Linked DNA regions of Sus scrofa. The protein of the gene in region 2 purifies or fractionates together with the protein of the main gene of each other region. This does not show direct contact. Links are inferred from orthologs where the notes say so. Each region holds a gene or a part of one and is shown on either strand. Other genes may lie near its edges. The genes, in order: XXYLT1, SLC30A1 and CSGALNACT2.

The links.
Region 1: the proteins of SLC30A1 (region 2) and XXYLT1 purify together in Homo sapiens (co-immunoprecipitation; 3 studies listed by BioGRID and IntAct, with this or other methods). This does not show direct contact. The link is inferred for Sus scrofa from reciprocal best matches to the Homo sapiens genes SLC30A1 and XXYLT1.
Region 3: the proteins of SLC30A1 (region 2) and CSGALNACT2 purify together in Homo sapiens (co-immunoprecipitation; 3 studies listed by BioGRID and IntAct, counting the BioPlex papers as one, with this or other methods). This does not show direct contact. The link is inferred for Sus scrofa from reciprocal best matches to the Homo sapiens genes SLC30A1 and CSGALNACT2.

Annotation. Positions count from the first base shown.
Region 1 is NC_010455.5:132,267,165-132,271,309, forward strand, and holds the start of XXYLT1 (xyloside xylosyltransferase 1), read right to left. Parts: upstream 2,823-4,145; 5' UTR 2,713-2,822; coding exon 2,209-2,712; intron 1-2,208. UniProt on the Homo sapiens protein: Alpha-1,3-xylosyltransferase, which elongates the O-linked xylose-glucose disaccharide attached to EGF-like repeats in the extracellular domain of target proteins by catalyzing the addition of the second xylose.
Region 2 is NC_010451.4:131,632,289-131,636,480, reverse strand, and holds the start of SLC30A1 (zinc transporter 1), read right to left. Parts: upstream 2,896-4,192; 5' UTR 2,883-2,895; coding exon 2,267-2,882; intron 602-2,266; coding exon 1-601. UniProt on the Homo sapiens protein: Zinc ion:proton antiporter that could function at the plasma membrane mediating zinc efflux from cells against its electrochemical gradient protecting them from intracellular zinc accumulation and toxicity.
Region 3 is NC_010456.5:61,392,762-61,396,359, reverse strand, and holds part of CSGALNACT2 (chondroitin sulfate N-acetylgalactosaminyltransferase 2), read right to left. Parts: intron 2,993-3,598; coding exon 2,776-2,992; intron 1,362-2,775; coding exon 1,260-1,361; intron 371-1,259; coding exon of another isoform or gene 313-370; exon of another isoform or gene 282-312; intron 1-281. UniProt on the Homo sapiens protein: Transfers 1,4-N-acetylgalactosamine (GalNAc) from UDP-GalNAc to the non-reducing end of glucuronic acid (GlcUA). Required for addition of the first GalNAc to the core tetrasaccharide linker and for elongation of chondroitin chains.

The DNA.
Region 1 (4,145 bases), on a different chromosome or scaffold from region 2:
TGGAGGCAGTCTCCAAGCAGAGGGAAAGGTAGGTGTGAAGTGGTTCCAAGAGAAGCATTCCTTTCAGGAATATTCCAAACCCAAGGAAGAATTCAATGACAAATAAAATGAGGCGAATCTTTTAGGACAACACATTTAAAGAAAAAAGAGCATCCTCTGTCACAAACAGAGAATAGGTTCACAAAAAAACAATCCAAAAGGAATAGGAGTCATTTTAGCTAGAAGTGATGAGTCCTTATATGAACATAGCCCCATTCCTGGTGCCTCAGCAGGGGTGGTGTCAATTCCCTGTGGCCATCTGCAGCTGCCTCAGGCCTTGGGCAATGGCTGTGGCTGTCAGAACTGGGCCCAGCAGAGGAAGGGAGTCAGAGCATGAAACACAAACTCCAAGAAGGGAACCCTGGTCCTGAGGCTGGACCTGCCCTGGACCAGTAGTCTCCGTGCCTCTGCTGCATGGCCAGCATAGGGATGGGAGATAAGACGTCTTGTAGTCACAGCACAGGGAGGTATGCAAGGAAGAGGCAGACGTGTCTTTCAGATGGGGATTCTTTGGAAGGCTCCAAGGGGGGGGCTGGCATCTGAAGATGGGCAACTCTCAGTGATGCAGAGAGTAAGGGTACCCTGCCAGTGGAACGACGGAAGAAGGGGCAGGTAGGCCGGACAGCAGAGGGTATGTGACAAGACACTGTAGCTGGAGCTCAAGGAGACAGTAGAGCCCTGGCAATGTGGTACAGTAGGCGGGAGTTACAAACTCTGACTCAGAAAGTGAAGCGATGACAATGACAGTCTTCGAGCTGATGTCTGGAGAGCCAGTCAAATCCCAGTTTTGCACAGACTGGCCCTATGATCAAGGGCCCTTGGTTTGCTCCCTGGGACTAGCACAGAATCTCTCAAACATTAGAATCCTAAGGGCCACCCCCAGAGACTGCAATTAGGGAAACTGAGCCCCAGGCTGAAAAACCCCAACAGAGACAGTGGGTCTCTGGGGCCCCTCCAGCCACAAGTTCCAGGACCTGGATTTCTATATCATGGACTCTCTGACTACGGTGGGTGTTCCTGGAGGGCTCATTTCTTCTGGGCAGGGGAAGCTGGAATAGAGATCTGTCAAGGGCTGGGCACAGATTGTCCCTAAGTCTATGGACATTCCTGGGGGAGTTGAAAGCAAAGAGTGGCCAAAGGCCCAGGAGAGAAGGAAGGACATTCTGGGTGGAGAAGAGAGCTTGTATAAAGGCTCATTCAGTACAATTAAGATCTAAGGTACATGCAGAGGAAGGACAAAAATGTAGGTTGGAGTGGAGAGCCAGGCCCACCACCCAGAAATCGATTCTGTAGTCAACAAACAAGAGACCTGGAGGCCTGCAGGATGCTGGCATCAGCTCCCCTCACCACCCCTCCCCCCACCATCAGGCTCCATCTTTTAAGATCACCTACTATTCCTATTCCAAAATCAGTCCCCTCTGTGCAACCATGAGGTTAAAAGGAGGCAAGCAATTTAACTGAGGCCATTGACACTAAGCTAGGAATCCCCGAGCAGAGCCAGGTGGTGAAGCCAGAGGATGAGGAGGCAGGTTGGTCCAATGACTAGCTCTGCCCTGCTCTCCCCAGATCTTATCTGTACCTCCTGGAGCGTTCTCTTCCTCCCTGGGAAGAACCCTCTGCTTCTCTAAATGAGCTCATGACCCTAGAGGGTGGGGGAGAAGGGACACATAAAGGAGATGAGGTGGTTCACACTGGAGCTTGACCAGTTCCGACTGAGATACCTTGGAGCTATGAGAAATGCCACTGTAACTTCAAGAATTCAAGAGGCCTACGACCCTGTCTATCAGATTCTGCAGCAGAAGAATACTGGTGCTTCAAATGACCTGTTCCATCCTCAAAAGCCAAAGACTGGAGGAGATTAAAAAGAGGGGCAGACTGGAAGGCACTCACCAGTGAACCCTGCAACGCTAGTAAGGAAGGGGCGTGCCGATTCTCAAGGGGGCCACAGTTAAAGGGGGATACCAGGTCAGGGTAGTCAGCTAACGCCGAGGCACCCACCCGGACACGCCCCCGACGATGCCTCCAGTCCACTTCGGGGAGAGGGTGCGAGTTGGCGTTGACAGTAGGCAGCGCAGCGAAGTCGCCTCCCTCCCGACCCCCTGAGCCTGGTGGGGCGCGCGCACTGACAGAGCCACCCGCCCGGAGCCTCCAGCTGAGGCCCCTGCTCACCTTGCACTTGAAGCCGGCGGCGGGCGGCAGCAGCTCTCGCAGCAGGGCCTTGGCCACCTCGCGGCTGGCCTCCTCGCTCACGAAGTGCAGGTTAAGCACCTCATTCGCCTCGAACTTAGCAAGGCGCAGCAGGGAGCGGAGCGCGATGCGAGCCTTGGCCTGCAGCGCGGCATTGTGTTCCGCCTTGGTGAACATCATCAGCAGGTGGTAGTCCACCGGCCCAGCCCCGCCGCTCTCCAGGCTCTTGGCCTTAGCACCCAGGGCTGGCGCCACGGAGCCCCGCGCCACCTCCAGCACCGGCGGCGAGGGCACGGCTGGGGCCCCGGCGCGGGCCTCCTTCAGCCTCTTGGTGGCGCTGGAGAAGGTCTCCCGGCCGGAGCCGAGGTAGTAAAAGGCACAGACCGCAAGCGCCGCGGCCAGGAGCAGCGCACAATAGTGGGAGCGCACAGCGCCCAGGCGTGCCATGGCCCGAGCGCATGGGGGCACGCCTCGGAGGAGACCCATGCGCCACCAGCCCGCCGACACAGAGCAGCCGGGAAACTGCAGCGGAGACCAATACCCCGGCAGCCACTTAGTAGCTCAGTCGGCGGGCGGCAGCCATGGCGGGGGCGGAGCCTTGCTGCCGAGGGCCAATCCACGAGCGCTGATGCTCGAGAGGCGGGGCCAGGGCTGTCCTGCAGCCGCTGGGTCCTAGGCTCGGAAGGATTACAGCCGAGATGTGCCGCGAGTTCACGGGATTCACTCCCGACCCCCGACCCCCATCCCCCAGGTGGTCAGAGGATCTGGTGAGGACCAAGACAGAGAGGCCAGCTGGCTATACCGTCTGTGAAAAATGGCCCTCTTAAGTGCCCAGCCCCAGACGCTAGAAACCAAAGCTAAGCCCTCGGCTACTCAAAAGACTAAATTGGGCAAAAAACATTTTTCTCTTATACCGTTATTCCTCTAATTTCTTGAAGGCCTCAAGTCCTCTCTCTGACTCCTTTCACACCTTGGAGTTTAGCTGGGGCTAAAGAATTTACACTGGCCACTCCTTCCCCATTCTCAGTGAAGGTGGAATGACAACCAAGGTGTAAATCGCCTGCCCACCTCACTTGCAACTCTGAGGCCCACTGGAAGCAATTTAAAGGTGTGGCCACCAGGGGGGCCCAAATGCCCAAAATTTAGAGGAGCCCAGAGCTCTGAAGGGGAGTAATACCAAAGATCGTGATACTCCTTAAACACACACACACACACACACACACACACACACACACACACACACACACAAAACACAAAACAAAAACTTAAACATTTTAAAAAAGACTTAATATGTAACAGGTAATTTTGCAAATTCTTTTTCCTTTTGGCTACACCTGTAGCATGTGGAAGCTCTGGGGCCAGAGATGGAAACAGCAGCACAGCAGTGACCACAGCTTGCAGGAAGGTGGGATCCTTAACCCACTGAGCAAGACCAGAGATCAAACCTGCATCCTCACAGAAACAACATCAAGTCCTTAACCCACTGAACCACAACAGGAACTCCAGGAAATTCCTAACTGAGGCACAGCTGAGGTCACTCGTCCAAGGTCACACAGTGGCAGTTTTGACAGTATAGTTGGACACTGCCAACTACATAAGTAAACATGCACAAGGGTCTGCATGCTTGAAAGAGGTGCAGGTGAAAACACAGGCACACACAAATTCCCTCCGCCCATTTATTGTAACATCCCATTATTTCTCAACTGGGTTCCCAGAACACAATTCATCTCATTTTTAACTCTTGTTCTTTTCAACTGGAGCAACATTTATCTGAATAATACTGGACTTCCGAAGCAGTCTTGGCAACAAACTCAACATACTACTCACCTTGCGGGGCAGAGTGGGGACCGCAATAGCAGAGTGAACTTGCTTGAATAACAGGGTTTTACTTTAGTTCATTTAATCCTCACAACATTAAG
Region 2 (4,192 bases):
AAAACGTCCTTAATGGTCTTAGCCACCTGCATGTACGATGTCGGGTCTTCACATTTTATGTGAGCAGTGGCAATGATTCTGCTTCCAGCAAGTTGCCAAACATGTAATTCATGAACTTCCTCAACTCCTTCAACATCTCGAAGTTCCTTTATCAAATTTTTGATATCAATTTGTTTGGGAACAGTTTGGAGAAGAATAAGAGCAGACTCCTTAAGTAATGGATAAGTTGTGTAAAGAAGTATACAAACCATTACAATACAAAGAGTTGGATCTAAATATAGCACCCAGCAAGGACCAGCCTCATAAACTGTTGCATGAGTACTATTAATTAACTCTACAAATGCTTTGCAGGGGTCAGGAACACATGGATTCACACACATCTCCCCCTCAGGACAACCTTTCCAAGAAAAGTAAAAGACTAAGGCATTTACTACTACAATCACGGAACCCAAAGCATCTCCAAAGACATGCAGAAAAACTCCACGCATGTTAAGTTGTCCAGCCTTATCATCATCATCTTCCAATTCCACCTGGTCCGGTTCTCTGATAAGATTCCCATTCACTTGTACTTCCACTGCATCACTTCTGGACTTTTCTGGATCTACAAAGAAATAAAGATTCCGTATCAAACACACATCTAAAATGTTTATATAAACATTCTTGCCTAATTCCATTTAAGAAATGGAAGTGAACATTTTTCACAAAACATAATTTAAAAATGTGCTCAGGAATCTAATATAAATTGACATACTGGGAACAAGCCAGGACAGAATGGCCAGGCTAAATTAAGTCATTAAGATGATATTGCTTCCCCAACACTCCTAGCCACTCACTGTCCAACACTACCACTTCAAAAAAAAGGTTCATCTTTTCTGTATGTGTGTGTGTGTGTGTGTGTGTGCTTTTTGGCATATACCAAAAGGAAAACTAAATTGGACACTATCACCCCAAATTAAATGCAACTATGGATAAGTCTAATGCAAATGGCTAATTTGACACAGTTCTTTAGCCATCTTTTGTCATTAAGGTGTTAACTTTTACATTTTTGTCATTTATATAAATGAGTCTCTTAATGGAATGGGTTTAGAAACTAACACATCAACAATATAAACCTATCAACAATCACAGAGACTTAAAGAAAAGTTGGAACTATCATTATCATTACTACTTCCTAAATCAAACATAATGATCCTTTAAAAGAATTATACACACCAGAGCAGCTTAATTTTCTTTGGAATGACACCTTGCAGACTAGAGGGGGAGTGAGAGGATATGCAGTTGTTTACGAAACCTCTTCAAAGTACAACCTGAATTTCATTAACATAACATCCTGCATCTTGGATAAAGGAAAGCTGTCTATGTAGCATAAAACTAGGTGAATAAATATATATGGAAAAAATCTAGAAGGAAATACACAAGTTGTTAACATCCCTGGGCTTGGGTAGTCAGGTATTAGATAGATTCCTTTTTCTGTCGCCTTCAACGCCCATTTCCCAGATTTCCTTCAAAAGCACTTACTGTTTAGAATGAAAACTGTCCATTAAAAATATAAGCTGAATTACCATCGCTTATCTTCGTATGATTATGGAAATTCCTAAGTGAAATGTTAAACATGCCCAGACAGGTCCGAAGTCTAAGATTTTCAGGGTTTGGTTTAGATTTTAGAAAATTACCTGAAACATACACGGCTGTTCTTAAGAAGAACCTTGAACCAGGGTTTTGAACTCAGGCAAGTCAATCGCTAGATAGCTGGCTCGGGATACATCAAGAAACTTGTTGGAAGGGCCTCAGAACTACTTGGGCAGAGCAAGGTCCCAAACAGCCAACAACTAAGGACCAGCGGGGGATTCTCTCCGTGGGCCGACAGGGTCAAGAAATTGAATTAGGAAGCAGTTTGGATCCTGCTAACGCCCAAATCAGACACTCTCTTGAAACGGCAGCCTGAGAAGACAGCCAAGTGTGGGGTGCGGGCAGCAGGGGGCTGACGGTCACCCCTGACCTTTGTCTGCTCTCACAGCCGCGATGCCTCGTCTACACCCACCCCCCAACCCCCGAAGCGTCCCCGGGCTCATGACACCAGGCTGAAAGGGGGAAACCTGCGTTTCCGCGCCTTCTGGGCGGGCGCGGGACCGGGAAGGAGCGGCGAGGCGGCGGTGCGGCGCGGCGCGGCCCGCTGGGCACCAGGGGGCGTGCGGGCCACCCCGCCCGGGGCCACCCGGGGTCTGGGCTCCCCAGGGCCAACCACCTGCGGCGGCGACCACCTCACCTGTCCGGTCCAATTTCAGCCCGTTGGAGTTGCTGCTCTTGGCCACCAGGATGTTGGTCTCCTCCTGGTCGGTTCCCTGCTCCCCTGGGGCCGCGCTGCTGTCGCTACCGCCGGCGCGGCTGCTCTTGCCGCGGCCCCCCTTGGGGAGGCCGTGGCCGTGCCCCCCGTGCGAGTGGCCGTGGCCGGAGTCGTTGCCGAAGCCGCTGTGATGGTGGAAGAGGCAGAGCCCCAGCACGTTGACCACCAGCCCCGCCACGCCGACCCCGAGGACCACCAGCGGCTGCTGCATCTCGTGCGGCTCGATGAAGCGCTCGATGGCCTCCAGCAGGATGGCGAAGCAGAGGCCGGTCAGGAAGATGGCGTTCACCAGAGCCCCCATCACTTCGGCCCGGATCCAGCCGAACGTGTTCTTCTGGGTGGCGTGGGTCCGCCGGGCGAAGCGCTCGGCCACCAGCGCCACCACCAGCGCCAGCACGTCCGACAGCATGTGGAAGGAGTCCGAGAGCATCGCCAGCGACGAGGTCACCCGGCTCACCACCACCTCCAGGACCATGAACATGAAGGTCAGTAACAGCATGCAGAGCAGCCGGCCCCGGTTCCGACCCCAGCACCCCATGGCTGCGGCTTAGGGGCCCGCCGAGCGCGGCCCGGACACTCGTGAGGCGGCGGCGGCGGCGGCGAGGCGCCGAGGGCCGGCGGCCCGGCCACGGAGGAGGAAGGGCGCCGCCGGGCTCTCACCGCCGGAGCCCGGCCGCTCGGGAGCCTGCGGTGGGGCCTCCGCCGCCGGACAGGGGCGAGCCCGGGGTCAAGCCGCCGCGCCCCCGCGCCTGCGGGCGTCCCCGGCGGGCCGGTGGCGCGCAGCTCCTCAGGCGTCTGTCCTCGGAGCCGGCGCGGAGGCCCGGCTCAGCCCCAGCAGCCCCCACACCCACGGCGGGGCGGCGGAGGTGGGGAACTGGGGCTCCCGGAGCCCGCGGACCAAGAGCCGGAGCAGGAGCGGGCGGGCGACGGGCAGCTCTGCGCTGTGAAGACTCCAAGCATCTGCCGGCTCTCCGCGCAGGTCTCCCTCTCTCAGGTCTCCCTCCGGTGTGGCTCGGACCGAGGAGCCGACGCCTGAAGAGCTGAAGAGGCGGCAGCAACCGCAGCTGCACTCGGCCCGGTGTCGGGCGCCTTCTTCGCCCCCCCGCCTTTGCAGACGGTTTACAAAAAAACTTTGCTTTGCACTCGGAACCCCCGTTTTCACACGGACCCGAGCGTGACAAGGCCTCGCCGCCCCGCCCACCAGGCCCGGCATGCTTCCCCATTGGCCAGGACCTCCTCACGACAGCCGCCGCGCCCCGCCTATCCGCGCTCACTATTGGATGGAGCCCGGCGGGGCGGGAGGGGGCGGTGTCGTGGCTCTAACAGATAGGGGCGGGGCCTTTCCCTTCAGGAGCCGGGCGTGGGCCGGGGGCCGCGGCCGGGTGCAGCGCCTGGCGTCGTGGGGGAGGGTGGGGGGCGCGGGCCGCGTGCAGCAGGAGGGGGAGGGGCGGGGCGGGGCAGCCGGGGTCCTCCCGGCGTGGCGGGGCTCCTGCTCTGGCGCTGCGGGTTCTCGCAGCTCCCAGCACACCTACGGGGCCCGGCAGCAAACAGACTTTGATCCTCCGAGCCGGGTCCACGTGGGGCGGGCCGCGCGGCCGCTGTGACAGGCGGCAGCCTGGGAAGGGCCGAAAGGGGGAGCCCCTGTGTGCGGGGCCCTCGGGTGGGCCCTCCTGTCAAAAAGCCCCGAGATTAGGCCGACGGACTCGAAAGCAAGGGCAGCACGCAACTTGTGACTCCGCTCAACACCCAGCTGAGTTAGTCCGAGGAGGTCCTGCGAGGCGATGAAGGGAATCTTCGTAAATGTTTCAATAAAGCGAAGCACCCGCATCACCACCATCCCCAGGAGAC
Region 3 (3,598 bases), on a different chromosome or scaffold from region 2:
AGTAAAGGCCCCGTGCAGTACACAGGAATTGACCAATTAGAGGGGAAGAATGAATGAAACACACTTGCTCTCAGACATCAAGCCCAGGGGATCATGAGATGGTCCTAGTCAGGACTGAAAGGGGGCCATCAGGAGGAGGAGCTAGTGAAGGGGGAGGCCCAGACAATGTTTGTTTCTCACACTCCAATACTATGACAGTCCCTTTGGGGCAGGGACTACAGTTTCCTCCTTTGCACCCAGTCCTATCCCAACCACCCCGGTCAGACTCCCAAGCGGTGTACCTGGAACATAGTCGGTAGGACTCAGTGAATGTTAGTTGAACGATTCGAGAATGGTCGGCCAAATCTGGACTCTTAGGGAATGGCCACAACTAGCAGAAAGGTAAAGAAGCAAGTAAAGGATACAGAGTTGATGGGGTCAGAAAAGACAACCTAATATCTTACATTTTAGCATATCTACATTTATAAAATATTTACATTTACAAACATCAGAGGAGAGTTTTAAGACGGAAGTACTGCTGAGCTATCAAATGTAAAAAAGCAGTCAAAGAGGATGACAGAGTAAAGGCTGAATTTGGCAGTTAGGTTATAACTTTGTTTCATAACTTAGAGATGAAAAGGATGAGAAGCTATAGAATTAATAATAGAGTATTAAGGAATTACTAATTCATTCATTCAAACCTCTGAGCACCTACTATGTGCCAGGTACTATAGGAGTTGCTTGGTTAGAGGATTACTGTTCTATGAGGTTTAGCTGTGGAAGGACAGAAACCCAACAGTAGCTATGGGGTACTGTAGAGTCAAGTGGGGGTCTCTTAAGGATAGGGGATACCTAAGCATCATTTACAGGGTGACAAGGAACTTAGGAAAATGGAAGGAAAGAAAATAAAGGTGGCAAGTAAGAGACAAGCTCAGGAGATGATATCAAAGTGAAGGGATTAGAGTGAGAAAAAGGGCAAGAGTCAACAGAAGGAAATAAAGAATAAATGGAGGCAAATATACAGAAGGTGAGTGGGCTGCAGAGGGAGAGCACCCTAGTCATGCCATGCTGTCTGCCAAGAGGTTAGGAGAAGACGAGTCTTTTAGAGATGCATGAGTGCACTTAGGGGTGAAATGAGGAACTCACTACCACCACCACTCACATGCTCAACCAACTTTTAAATGGCAGATGTTCAAAATTATTAACTCATGAAGTATCTGAAATTCTCATTCTTCTAGTGTTACATATCAAGGACTTTAATGTGGACATGGCTCACCAACCTTGTGACAGATTCCAGGATAGACTTGACTTTAGATAGTCCTTCTTTACCAAAATACACCACTGTGAGATGGATTCTCTTGTCCTGATGAATACACACATCCCTAAAAGAATTGAAAAAATAAAGCTCATTCGGAAAAATACATAAGGCACTACTCATTCTGAAAGCAATCACATGAAGCTTTAACAAGAAAATAAGCATTACTCATTTAGAATGAAATCACATGAAGGTTTAAATAAATATAAAACTGGCAATATTGCTGAATTATTAAAGGCATCACAGCAAACACATAATAATATATGTCTAAATGAATGCAATGCTTAGACGGCCATGTAAGCAACCCAAAAGGGTGCCATATTTCAGAACATTTTTGGAACTTTTGCTTTGATATTGCCCTCAGAAACAAATTATAAGCTATTCAAGGAAATAAGTTTAATCAGTTCAAAACCACATAAATAAATAATTCAAATTTGAGGTCAAGAGTTATTTTGTCTTCAGACTGGCTATTTCCAGAAATTATACCGATCATTAAGGAATAAATATTCGCCATGATTGAGATTATAAACTGTAAAGAATAACATAGCATATGACAGGAACTTCATGAAAGGCAATTAAAAATGCTTAGGAAATCAGATCTCAAGAGAGCAATTTCAAAAAGGCAAAACTCATTTGGCAGCTTCCAGATATTATATGACAGATTTAGGCTTTTATACCCAATAACTTCAGTGAGAACAAAGATTGGGGTTACAAAGCATTAAAACTAACATATTAGAATATTAAAAACATGACATCTGTTAAATTAAAATGAAAAAGCTCGACTTTCCCCACTTACCCTAACACGTAGTTGTTAATTCCTTAACATTTTAGAATTTTAAAATATCCAAATGTAATAACCAAAAAAAGAAAAAATTCTTTTAAAAACTGTTATAGTCTCTGCTTCCCAAGAAGGAATAATGTTCTCCCATTTTTGCATGCTTTTTTTATTTGTATTTCTAAAATTTCCTTCAATTTTAAAATTCAATTGGTTCTCAGGGGAATTTTCTGAGGCGACAGCAATGTTCTATACCTTGATTGGAGAGGCAGTTACATGAGTGTATACACTTGTCAAAAGTCATGAAATCTCTATCCTTAGAACATGTGGATTTACTGTATGTCAGTTATGCCTCAAAAAAGTTATTTTTCAAAATTCAACCTGTTCTAAAACAAATTCAAACACAATGATAAAGGTGATCAAATTTTGTTTCTAATAGTGTCACCCTCGACTTACTTCATAGTTCAAACTGTCAGTCACAATATACTATACATGCTTTAAGAAAAAAGGGACTATAAAATTATTCCAAAGCCTATAAAATTATTCCTATAAATTATTTCCAAAGCCTATAAATTATTTCCAAAGCCTATAAAATTATTCTACAACTCTAAATAATCATACTCAATGAAGGTAGATTAAATAAAATGGCATTAAATGTGCTTCTTTGTAGAAGCACTTAGCCAAATTGCTAAGCCCTCAGAGTTACCTGAAGTTCTGCATAAACTGTGCAAATGCTTCAGTCCTTTCAGCGAGAGGCACAATGATGTTAATAATTGATCTAGTAATGTCAATCATCTCACTCTTCACTTTCATGAGAGGTCCAAAAGGGCGGAAGAGGGTCACATGTCTATATTCCATAAGGTCTGCTTTCTTAAAAAAGAGTTCATACTGTGTGCCCTTATCTCTCTCCGTGCGATAATAACCTAAAAGAAAGAATTAGGATAAAGATGTCTTCATGCCAAAGTTTACGAATTCAATATGACTACTGATTTTACTCAAAGATCAAAAGTATGAAAACAGACTTGCAGGGTTTTTATCTATTTGTGAGAATTTTATCCCCCTGGTACAGTCATTAACAACTATTTCTTTAAAAGAGAGGTTAGGAGTTCCCTGGTGACTCAGTGGGTTAAGGATCTGGCGTTGTTACTGCTATGGCTCAGGTATGATCCCTGGCCTAGGAACTTCCACATGCCTTGGGCATGGCCTCCAAAAATAAATAAAAGGAGAGGTTAAAAAATGTTCCCCACTCTGTTATATTATTTACTCTATAAAATACGCTCCAAATGACAATGTTTCTTTTCAACATATGACCTTTTTAATAGTGGAGCCTATCAACACAGAAATCAAATGATGAAAATAAAGAAATTACTTCTAGCAATATTAAATTCTACACCTGAGAGTCAAAAGTTTTTTTTTTTTTTTTTCCACTTTTTTAGGGCCGCACCTGCAGCATATGGAGGTTCCCAGGCTAGGAGTCTAACTGGAGCTGGAGCTGCTGGCCTATGCCAGAGCCGCAGCAACAAAGGATC